Danio rerio: one gene and its partners. The protein of the gene in region 1 binds, or shares a complex with, the protein of each later gene. Links are inferred from orthologs where the notes say so. Each region holds a gene or a part of one and is shown in the gene's direction. Other genes may lie near its edges.

Evidence for each region.
Region 2: cnot6l (region 1) and cnot9 share a complex: the UniProt entries of both Homo sapiens proteins name them as parts of the CCR4-NOT complex. The link is inferred for Danio rerio from reciprocal best matches to the Homo sapiens genes CNOT6L and CNOT9.
Region 3: cnot6l (region 1) and cnot11 share a complex: the UniProt entries of both Homo sapiens proteins name them as parts of the CCR4-NOT complex. The link is inferred for Danio rerio from reciprocal best matches to the Homo sapiens genes CNOT6L and CNOT11.

The regions. Positions count from the first base shown.
Region 1 is NC_133180.1:39,726,928-39,730,691, reverse strand, and holds the start of cnot6l (CCR4-NOT transcription complex subunit 6-like), read left to right. Parts: upstream 1-1,539; 5' UTR 1,540-2,148; intron 2,149-3,764. Other genes in the region: mrpl1 (large ribosomal subunit protein uL1m), read right to left, coding at 65-173, 694-724. UniProt on the Homo sapiens protein: Has 3'-5' poly(A) exoribonuclease activity for synthetic poly(A) RNA substrate.
Region 2 is NC_133197.1:12,450,097-12,453,760, reverse strand, and holds part of cnot9 (CCR4-NOT transcription complex subunit 9), read left to right. Parts: intron 1-631; coding exon 632-814; intron 815-1,535; coding exon 1,536-1,651; intron 1,652-1,742; coding exon 1,743-1,852; intron 1,853-3,286; coding exon 3,287-3,396; intron 3,397-3,489; coding exon 3,490-3,588; intron 3,589-3,664. UniProt on the Homo sapiens protein: Component of the CCR4-NOT complex which is one of the major cellular mRNA deadenylases and is linked to various cellular processes including bulk mRNA degradation, miRNA-mediated repression, translational repression during translational initiation and general transcription regulation.
Region 3 is NC_133184.1:58,597,242-58,600,508, forward strand, and holds the end of cnot11 (CCR4-NOT transcription complex subunit 11), read left to right. Parts: coding exon of another isoform or gene 1-49; intron 50-360; coding exon of another isoform or gene 361-405; exon of another isoform or gene 406-1,859; intron 1,860-2,212; coding exon 2,213-2,410; 3' UTR 2,411-2,745; downstream 2,746-3,267. UniProt on the Homo sapiens protein: Component of the CCR4-NOT complex which is one of the major cellular mRNA deadenylases and is linked to various cellular processes including bulk mRNA degradation, miRNA-mediated repression, translational repression during translational initiation and general transcription regulation.

The DNA.
Region 1 (3,764 bases):
CTTCTTTGAATAGTTTCAAAGTTTGTCAAGTGTCTCAACATTTACAAGTTTAAACTGAACTCACTTTGTAGCAGCGTAGGACCTGGCAGACTGTTGCCGGTGTGCAGTCAGTGAGTTGCAGGAGACAGAAGGAGCTCTATTTGTGAACAACAGACTCTGACATCTGGGTAATACTGTTAAGACACACAATTATTGTAGAAATAAGATAACTGGCTTAAAGGACATATCAATGATCGTTTTTAACTAACCAGTCACCTTAAGACACTGCCATCAGTTACTTAAATAATATTTTTTAATGCTTCTTATGTAGATTGATAAAAAACCCGTATTAAATTAGATTATTTTAATTTTAAATATCAACTCTAACTTACTAGTAATGTAGTTACAAAGAGCAACTTAAGCAAAAATATAAATACACAAATTGGCAGATGGCTGTTTTTTGTCTATAAGTCCTATTTGATATTTCAATCGTGTGAGTATAGTTTATGCTTTATACAGACAGACTTAATTCATAAAAGCACGACTATAAGAGATCGTAATCCATTTGATAGCTTTTATACATAAACGACGCAACAATGTATTTTATTCGTAGGCTGAAAAAAATAAGCACAGATTCCACGTGTTAATAACGTGGGAAAATACACTGACATTAAGAGATTATAAGTAAAATTCTTTGCAATGATTAAAACTGACCTCTTAAAACACTCCTCGCGGGGGCAGCCATGTTGATAAATTTGTGTGTTACACTTAAATTTCCCGTCTGAAACCCTGAACCTCTGTTTAATCGTTCCAACTCAGAAATATCAATAAGATGGTTTAGTAAAAAAAAAATTCAAGTTAGAAAAATGTTATGTTTAGTTTAAACTATATAACTTGTTTAAACTAAGTATTTGAGCAACCTTGCATGAAATATCTTAAAGTTGCGCGTTAAATATAGAAACTGCAAAAATGTACAATTTGTGGTCATTTAATTAATAAATACAAATATTTCGTGTGTTTTAGTAAGCGTACAAAGAAAACTTAAATCACAAGAGCAGTGTTCACAACCACTAGAGAATTTCATGAATCTTTTAAGTCGGATCTTTTCAATGACTCGATTGAACCATTGAACCGAACTTAACGAGTCACCAAATACACTGAACCGACCACCAGCTTTCAGGACTGTCCGATAGCAAAATAAAAAAATGTTTAAGGCAAACTCAGAGCCTACGACTTGAATAGGATATTGGCGATTACTAAATTAATAGCCTTTTATTATGTGTAAAAATGTATATCTAGGAGAATATGAAAAATAAATATATAGTCTATGCATAGTAAATATATAGTGTTTTCAAATCACATTATAGAAAGGTGTATTATAGTGTACATATTATAGTATTTACAACTCAAGGTAATCTTGTTTTTTATATTTTAAAGAAAATAATATCAATATATAATCAAATATGTTTATTGAACTGTTCGTTCGAAAGAACCGATTCGTCAAAATGAGTCGACCACCTATCCCTAGTTGTAGGGGAGCGTGGACCGGAGCGGAAGCTCAGACTGTTGTCCTTCCTCCTGCCCGACTCTCAGGATGAGGATCGGTCACAGTTTGTCTGTATGTCTCTGATTAAATCACACACCAGCAGCTCCTCTCCCACCTCCCGAATGCAGGTAAGAACTGACCAACTGCATTTCGGAGTGGTGTTTTGCGTTGCTTATATCGTTGAGTGTCAAAAACGCCTGACGTCTCCAGCTCTGCCTTCTGAAGATCAGCTGAGACAATAATGTGTGTGAACTGTAACTTAATAAACACGAGAGAACAGTGTTTCAACCTACTGCGCGCCTCATCGTTTGTGCTGATTTACACATGACCGTATTTGGAGATGCCGAGGACCGTCTGAGCTGGAGCGGGTGACATGGCCAGACCTGCTCCTGCTTGTCATGTTCTGCTTGTCAGCTCAGCTCGCCAGCTAAACTTATTTCATCTAAATCACCCATGTTTAAGAGATCAAAACTTTTTGCCTTCACTGCGCAGGCAAGAACAGCTAATAATAGCCTTACATAACAAAGCCCGCTATTTGAGTAGCTGACAACTGTGGTGACTCGCTGTAATGCGAAACACGCCACGACACTTCGAGGACGAGTTTTAACAGCACGTGCAAGAAGGTAAAGTTCAGACATTGTGTTTGTTTTATTCATAGAAGTTACTTAGTAACTTTAAATGAGGGTTACGTAAAGCCTCAGCTGCCAGGGCTCATTTGCATATTACACACCACAATGTTCAGCCTGACAACTTTTATGAACACTTCGGTTTAGTGACAGTTGCAGATAGCAGAATTTACAAAAACACACCCAACAGTGAACAGAAAACATAAGTGCACACGTAATACACAATAAATGTAGTACACATTACTGTATCAGATTTTATTATTTCATAACTGCTGAAACTTTTATCACAATAGTATAAAGATGGTATAGCCATAACATACAAAAGGATTAGACCACTTTAGCAGGTGTAATAAATGATAAAAAGTTGTGTATTGCTCTAACAGGACCTATATTATTAAAGTAAAAAAGGTCAGCTTTACATTATGGTCTCATTATTAAGTGGTAATAATGCATTAATTACAATCAAGATTTAAAATTCCTAAAATTAAAATTGATTTAAAAAATCTAAAATTAATAGTTACTAAACATTAATGTATCAAAATCATCTAAGATTAATAAATGCCTTAAAATTAGTTTTCATCATCAGTTTGGTTTCATTAACTAATGTTAACAGATGAAGCCTTATTATGAATGTACAGCAACAGGCCTATAAAAAATCAGAACATTTTCAATCAATATCTCGGATGTAATTATTTAAAAATAAATGCCTTCTTAAGTCTTCAAACATTTGGTGTGTTGTGATGAAGCAAATGCCAATACACGGATCTCAAAACGCTTGAGAGTAAGTCAGAGGTTAAATAATAAATTATTATTCTGTATTTTGACTTGTCAATATCATGCATGCTGGTTATATCAATATATTAAATCACACATGTCTACTGTACAGCAGTGGTTCTCAAAGTGGGGGTCGCGAGACAATGAATGGGGGTCGTCTGGTGATTTTCAAGTCTATTTATCGTTACTAAACAATAAGAATTACCATATTTTATCTACAACCTACTGAAAAGAAAAAAATAGGCGTTTATAGTTACTATATAGTACTGTAAATAGTTACTATCTTAGTTTATAGTTCTATTGGATCGCGACCCCTGGTGTAATTACATTATATTAAAGACACAGCAATGGCGTCAGATGCAGCAGATTAATTTTATAGCACCAGGTTAAACTTTCTGCCACATTTACAGCACTGTCATACATAAAAAATGCAACAAAGAATAGACTTGGGTCTATTGGTGTGTGTGCACCATTGCATGCAAGGTTTCTGTATTGATAACCACCTCAGAAGATATTGGGGGTCGCGAGTCACTGGCATTGTTATTTTGGGGGTCTCATTATTGCTGTGCATTACTGTAGTCTAGTGACTGATACAAAATGAAACAATATGAAATGACAGCTAGTTCAAAGTTAATTTTAAATGAAATCACCCTGAAGTTCTGCATGTAAGAAAACATTGACGAGCAGAAGTAGGATATGTTCTACCCAGACGGCTTAGAGAGTTGGCAGTATGTTCTGGTCTGTATGTAACAGCTGCAACCAAATGATTACAGGGTGGCGCATGTGTGTTTTTTTTTCTGTATACACGGCAAATAAGGCATTTAAAAGCTCTTGTTGGT
Region 2 (3,664 bases), on another chromosome or scaffold:
TTATCAGAGTGTAAACAGAATATAAGAATATAAACAGATATTAGAATATAAACAGAAGTCAGAATTATTAGCCCCCCTTTTATTTTTTTCCCTAATTTCTTTATAACGGAGAAAAGATGTTTTTAACACATTTCTAAACATAATAGTTTTAATAATTCATTTCTAATAACTGATTTTTTTTTATCTTTGCCATGATGACAGTGAATAATATTTTACTACATATTTTCAAGACACTTCTATACAGCTTAAAGTGGCATTTAAATGCTTAACTAGGTTAATTAGGTTGACTAGGCAGGTTAGGGTAATTAGGCAAGTTATTGAATAATGATGGTTTGTTCTGTAGACTATTGAAAAAAATATACAGCTCAAAGGGGCTAATAATTTTGTCCTTAAATTGGTGTTTAAAAAATTAAAAACTGCTTTTATTCTAGCCGAAATAAAACAAATCAGACTTTCTCCTGAAGAAAAAAATATTATCAGACATACTTTAAAAATGTCTTTGCTCTGTTAAACATAATTTGGGAAATATTTAAAAAAAAAAAGAACAAAACAAAAAAATCAATGGTGGGCTAATAAATCTGTCTTCAACTTTATATATGATGACTAAAGAAGTGCTCTCTCACTCTCACAGACTGTAAGCACAGCGGGTCTGGCGCAGGTGGACCGGGAGAAGATCTACCAGTGGATCAATGAGTTGTCCAGTCCAGAAACACGAGAGAACGCCCTGCTGGAGCTCAGCAAGAAGAGAGAGTCTGTGACTGACCTGGCCCCAATGCTCTGGCACTCCTGCGGGACCATAGCAGCTCTACTGCAGGTCTGCTTCAGTTTCTTTCATTCTAGACACAATTCTTTTTGATTTAAAGAAATATTAATTGAATTGAATAATTGTGTAATTATTATTATTATTTTACATATAAATAAATATTAAGTGGCATAACTGTATGTTTTTTTAATATATATCTGGTTAATTAATTCATTATGCAATTAATAATACAATAAGTAAAAATTAATTACAAAATTATTTTAGGTAATATTAAGAGGGATTTGTAAATGTAGGTTTTTTTGTTCAATGTTTTTATTCAATGTACACAATTTTGATTAATCTTTTTGATGAAAATGACATTTAAAATGAATTTTAAAGCAATAAATTGACAAACAATTGTTTAGTAAAACATGAATTATTTCAGATATTTGAAAAATTATGGAATGGAGTGATAATAACTGTATAAGTTACAAATATGTCCCTTTTTGAAAGAATTTTAATAAAATTTAGGGTTTAAGTAGTTTTTTTTTCTGCACTTTGAAAATTAAAACTTTTTGTAAACGCTCTTTTCTGACATTTGACACTAAAGTAGTTCTTCAGATATTCAGATACTATTAGAATTTATATTGAATAGTAATAAATAACAATAATAGCAAAGGCTTTTATTGTAATCAAAACAAGTTCAAAGTTTGAATTCATTTGAGAAGGTAGAAAAAAATAGAGCAAAGTTAACTAAATTGAGATTAATAATTAATTTTTTTTTTTTTTACAGGAAATTGTTAACATCTACCCATCCATAAACCCCCCGACACTGACGGCACATCAGTCTAATCGAGTGTGTAATGCCTTAGCACTGCTGCAGTGTGTGGCGTCACATGTAGAGACACGGTAACACACTTCTTATAGACACAGAAAACGACACGCTCTCTTTAATGATTCGCCACATTGACTGATCCTCCGATTTCTTTCTCGTCCTCAGTTCTGCTTTTCTGGCAGCTCACATCCCTTTATTTCTCTACCCGTTCCTGCACACGGTCAGTAAAACCAGGCCCTTCGAGTACCTTCGGCTCACCAGTCTGGGCGTCATCGGTAAGAAAAAATATATATAAGTAAGATTGAACTGAAATGTTATCATTGTTTGGAAGAGCTATAAAAATATTGTGTGTATATATACAGTGCTCAGCATAAATGAGTACAGCCCATTTTAAAAATGAATATTTTTATCCATTTCTCAGTGAATATTGGTAATATATATTAGTGCATTTGAACAAAACAGATTTATTGTACAGATATGTTTTATCAAAATAATATTTTAGTCACATAACATCTTTAGAAATGGAAAGATTACTTATAAATTCATGCAAAATATTGCAAAAAAAAAACATAACAAACTAGAACATTTCAACAAAATTGTATATATTTTGTATATTAATTTGTATAATATTTTCTAACATATAAATTTGGGCTACTAATTTCTGAACCATTATTGTAAGTTTCACTTTATTAGATTAGCTCCAGATTTGGATTCAGTACTCACTAATCTAATGTATATGCACAAATGTAATATTGTAAAGCTTCCTATAGAAAATATTCATTTAAATGAGAGATTTGTTTGGGGTATATATGCTGAGCACTGGATATATAATATTATGTAAATTGCCAAATACTTTAATATTTGGTAAAAACATAAAATAAAAAAATATGAAATACATATAATAAACTATATGTAATATAATTAAGATAAAAGTAGTAAAAACAGTATTTTGCATTAGGCGATACAAAAATACAATTAAGCAGTTTGAATTATATTTTCAATATGGAAGGGCATTTGTATCTATATATTGATTTTTTTTATTTTGTTTAGTGGTTTTGCAGTTTCAATTTGTGACATTTCTGTATCTATATTTAAGTTTTTGGATGAAAATGAAAGTAAGACTGAACTGAAATGTATTCATCTTATAGGAGCATTAGTGAAAATGGTGAAAATACTTTTTATACATACAAATTTAATATATTTATATAATGACGTAAATTTGCCAAAAAATTAATATGAATTTTCCATTCGTTAAAAAATATATATACTTTGTAGCAGACGAAACAAAAATACAATTAGTGCAATCAGTTTGAGTAAATTTTTGAATGTGTATGTTTTATTTAGTACATTTGATTTTTTTCAATTTAAATATATTTCATTATTCGATTTTTGATGAATATGCTAAAAAATTAAATAAATAAGTAAAACAGATTTACTTTCATATATGAATTTACCATTCACAAGTAATAAAAAAGGTATATTTAAAAAAAAGTTTTATCAATGCATCATATTTTTGTTTTATTGAATATGTCAGGTGATTAGTAACCACGTTATTGACCTAGTTTTTTATTCATTAATTGATTTATTTAGTATATTTGATTTGCATTTACTTTTATAAATGTGTTTCTTCTAAATCCTGTATTGAATAATTTTTTGGGATGTAATTGTGTAAGCCTGATAAATAAGCCAGAGATGCGTTTGTCTTATAGGCGCACTGGTGAAAACAGACGAGCAGGAAGTCATCAACTTTCTGTTAACCACAGAAATAATTCCTCTCTGTCTGCGCATAATGGAGTCCGGCAGCGAGCTCTCCAAAACGGTAATCTCATTACATGACATAACTTGACAAGTTATGAGTGTACGTGCATTATTCAGATGCATTTGATGTGTATTTCCTCTTTTCTTCCTTCAGGTGGCCACGTTTATCCTGCAGAAGATCCTCTTGGATGATACGGGGCTTGCCTACATCTGCCAGACCTACGAACGCTTTTCACATGTAGCCATGATACTGGTAATTAACTATTAATGTTCAGGAGTATTATTAACATGTTAGACATATTCATTTTTGGGTTCTGAAATCATTTGTC
Region 3 (3,267 bases), on another chromosome or scaffold:
GACACATGTGACCTTTATCCTAATGGACACTAACGGTCAAAGGTTTGGGGTAATGATCTAAAACAGTGGTTCTCAAACGGTTTTTCATCAAGTACCACCTCAGAAAACAATTGTCTCTCCAAGTACCACCAAAATGAGCAGCATTGAAATACAGTAGCGCAGTAGGTACAGTAAAGCAGCTACAACTCTGCACAGTTAAAAAACGTGGCAGATTACCTCAGAAATATAGGCTATATGTCATACATGGCATAATATATACATCATTTTTGATCAATTTTGTAATGTGTGTAGCATGTACATGACATATTTCATTCCTCCGCGTACCACTAGAAGAAAGCCTGCGTACCACACGTACCACAGTTTGAGAACCACTGTTCTAAAATTATTATTGATTTGATTGATTAATTGTTGATTATTATTGATTATTAATTTAAATAATAATGATTCTGTTCATCACGTACACGTAAACAAAATGTTAAATTGTTAAATACTTATTACAATTTTAAATAACTGCTTTCTTACTGTATGTAGTTTCAAATGAAATTATTACCCCATTCATTATTGCATTTATTACTATTACCATTAATAATAATAATTAGGGGTGTAACGATACACTCAGCTCACGATACGATGTGTATCACAATATAATGTTCACGATTCGATATGTATCACGATATAATGTTCACGATTCGATATGTATCACGATATTTGGAATAAAAATTGAAAATTAAACTGAAATGCAAATTTTACCAAGTAAACTATTTTTATGTATTTCTTTTGTTTCAACTTGTTAAACTGAACCTTCTTTAAGAAAATAAATGAAACAGGCCTGTCTCTGGAAAATAAAACAATTAAAAAACTTCTTAAAAAATATTATTGAAATGACAGAGACAAAATTAAGGAACAATTTAAGTAAAGGTGCAAAAAAAATAAGCTTTCTATTCAATTGAATTTAACAGTAAGAGCTTAAGGCTTTACTTGGTCACTTTCGTTTTTTGTGTGTGCAATGAAAATCCACATTTCCAGGTATTAATTCATATTTAATTAAATTCATTTAGAGATATCTCTAATTACAATTGTGACTAATCAAAACTCATTTAGAGATATCTGAAAATATTTTTCAATGGAGGAATATGACTAGTCATAATATATTTGCAGATATCTCCAATCTGATTTCGTACTAGTACAATTGTAATTGCAGATATCTCTAATTGTCATTCTGACTAGTCGAATTATAATTATGACTAGTCAAAATATAATTAGAGATATCTCTAAATATATTTATGGATAGTCAGAACAAAGGTTTAAATGCTAAAACTGCTTGCCATACGCGCGCGTCTATCAGTCCGCCCTCTGTAGTAACTCACGGTCAGCTCACGTCATGTGTGATTTTGCGGCGGGAACATTATATGAAGACAGAATGATATTTTAGGGTGAATTGTACCTTATAAATACAGTATGTGACTCTTTCAACACCATTAGGAGGTATCCCTGTCGCTGTGCAAAGTATGTAAATCACTGTGAAGACTTTAAAACTTAGGATGTTTGACCCAGTATGCGTGTCAAAAAGCGGACGAGTCTAAAGCAATGACTGTACAACCGAAATGTTGCCAGACGTCTGATTTTGAGAGGATGGGCCATCCTCTATTTCAACTCCACTCATCTTGGTCTGCTAACATTACTGCTGCTGCAATCTGAACTCACGTGCGACAGCAGGTGGAACGTAGCTCACGTGCAAACAGCTCAACTAATAAGAGAAAACGGACGTCATATCGTAATCTAATCGTCATAACGCCACCATGCATATCGAGACATTTTTGCATCGCAATAAATCGTACAACGATAAATCGTTACACCCCTAATAATAATAATAATAATAATATTATAATAATAACAGTAATAATGATTAATATCAGAGTGACTTGTGAAGGATCATGTGACTCTGAAGACTAGCTAAAAAATCATCATTAAATCACTGGAATATATGATTAAATTAAATGATAAACCACTGTTGAGCACTTCTTTATTTTATTATGCAATAACATTTCACTATTTTACCATCTGTTCTGTATTATTGATTAAATAAATGCCAAACTTTAGACCAGTAGTGTATGTGTGTGTGTGCATATGTATATGTGTGCATATGTGTGCATGTATATGAGTATGTGTGTGTGCGCGTGTCTGAATATTGTTGTGCTTGTGTGTCCTGCAGAACCGTCTGGTGCGTCTGGTCTGTGTGTTCCTGCAGTCTCTGATCCGCAATAAGATCATCAACGTTCAGGATCTGTTCATCGAGGTTCAGGCCTTCTGCATCGAGTTCAGCCGCATCCGTGAGGCCGCAGGGCTGTTCCGGCTCCTCAAGACACTCGACAACGGAGAGACGCCGGCCGAGGGCAAGACCAGCAAATGATGGAGCGCTTCCTGAACACACACACCGCTGAACTGATCTGCTTTATGCTTTTTATTTATGTGCAGGAGTCGTGCAGAAACAGCCTGACTGTGCTAAATCTCCATGAAGACGAGCATTCACTGATGACTGAGGTATGATGATGACGACTCCTGTAGTCATGGCTCATCACTGACTCAGCGTTTTCATATTCGCTCAACCAAAACTCTGCAGATTCAGTATTTGGGAATATGGCTTTCAGTAACTCTGAGAGTGTCTGAGCTGAATCCTTTATTAACGGCGCTCAGTAACTCCATTTCATTTGTGTATATTTTCTCAATAAACAACGTTTCAAAGCAGCTCTTCAGAACATCTCTGAGAATGATTGGTGGAATTTCAGCCACATTTACAGGATATACATTATTTATTTTATATATATATATATATTTGTGGTGTAACGGATCACGTATCTCATGGTAGGGCTGCTCGATTTTGAAAAAAATCATAATCACGATTATTTTAAACGATTATCAGTTGAAGTGAAAATTATTAGCGCTCCTGGGAATTTAGTTTTTTTAAATAACTATTTCCCAAATTATGTTAAACAGAGCAAGGAATTTTAACAGTATTTCCTCTAATATTTTTTTTCTTATGGAGAAAGGCTTATTTTTTTATTTTAGCTTGAAAAAAAGCAGGTTTAAATATTTTGAAACCCATTTTAAGGTCAATATTATTAGCCCCCTTAAGCAATATATGTTTGATTGTCTGCAGAAGAATCTACTGTTATACAATGACTTGTCTCATTACTCTGATTAAGCCTTTGAACTGCACTTTAATCTGAATGCTTGTATTCTAAAAAACATCTAGTAAAATGTTATGCA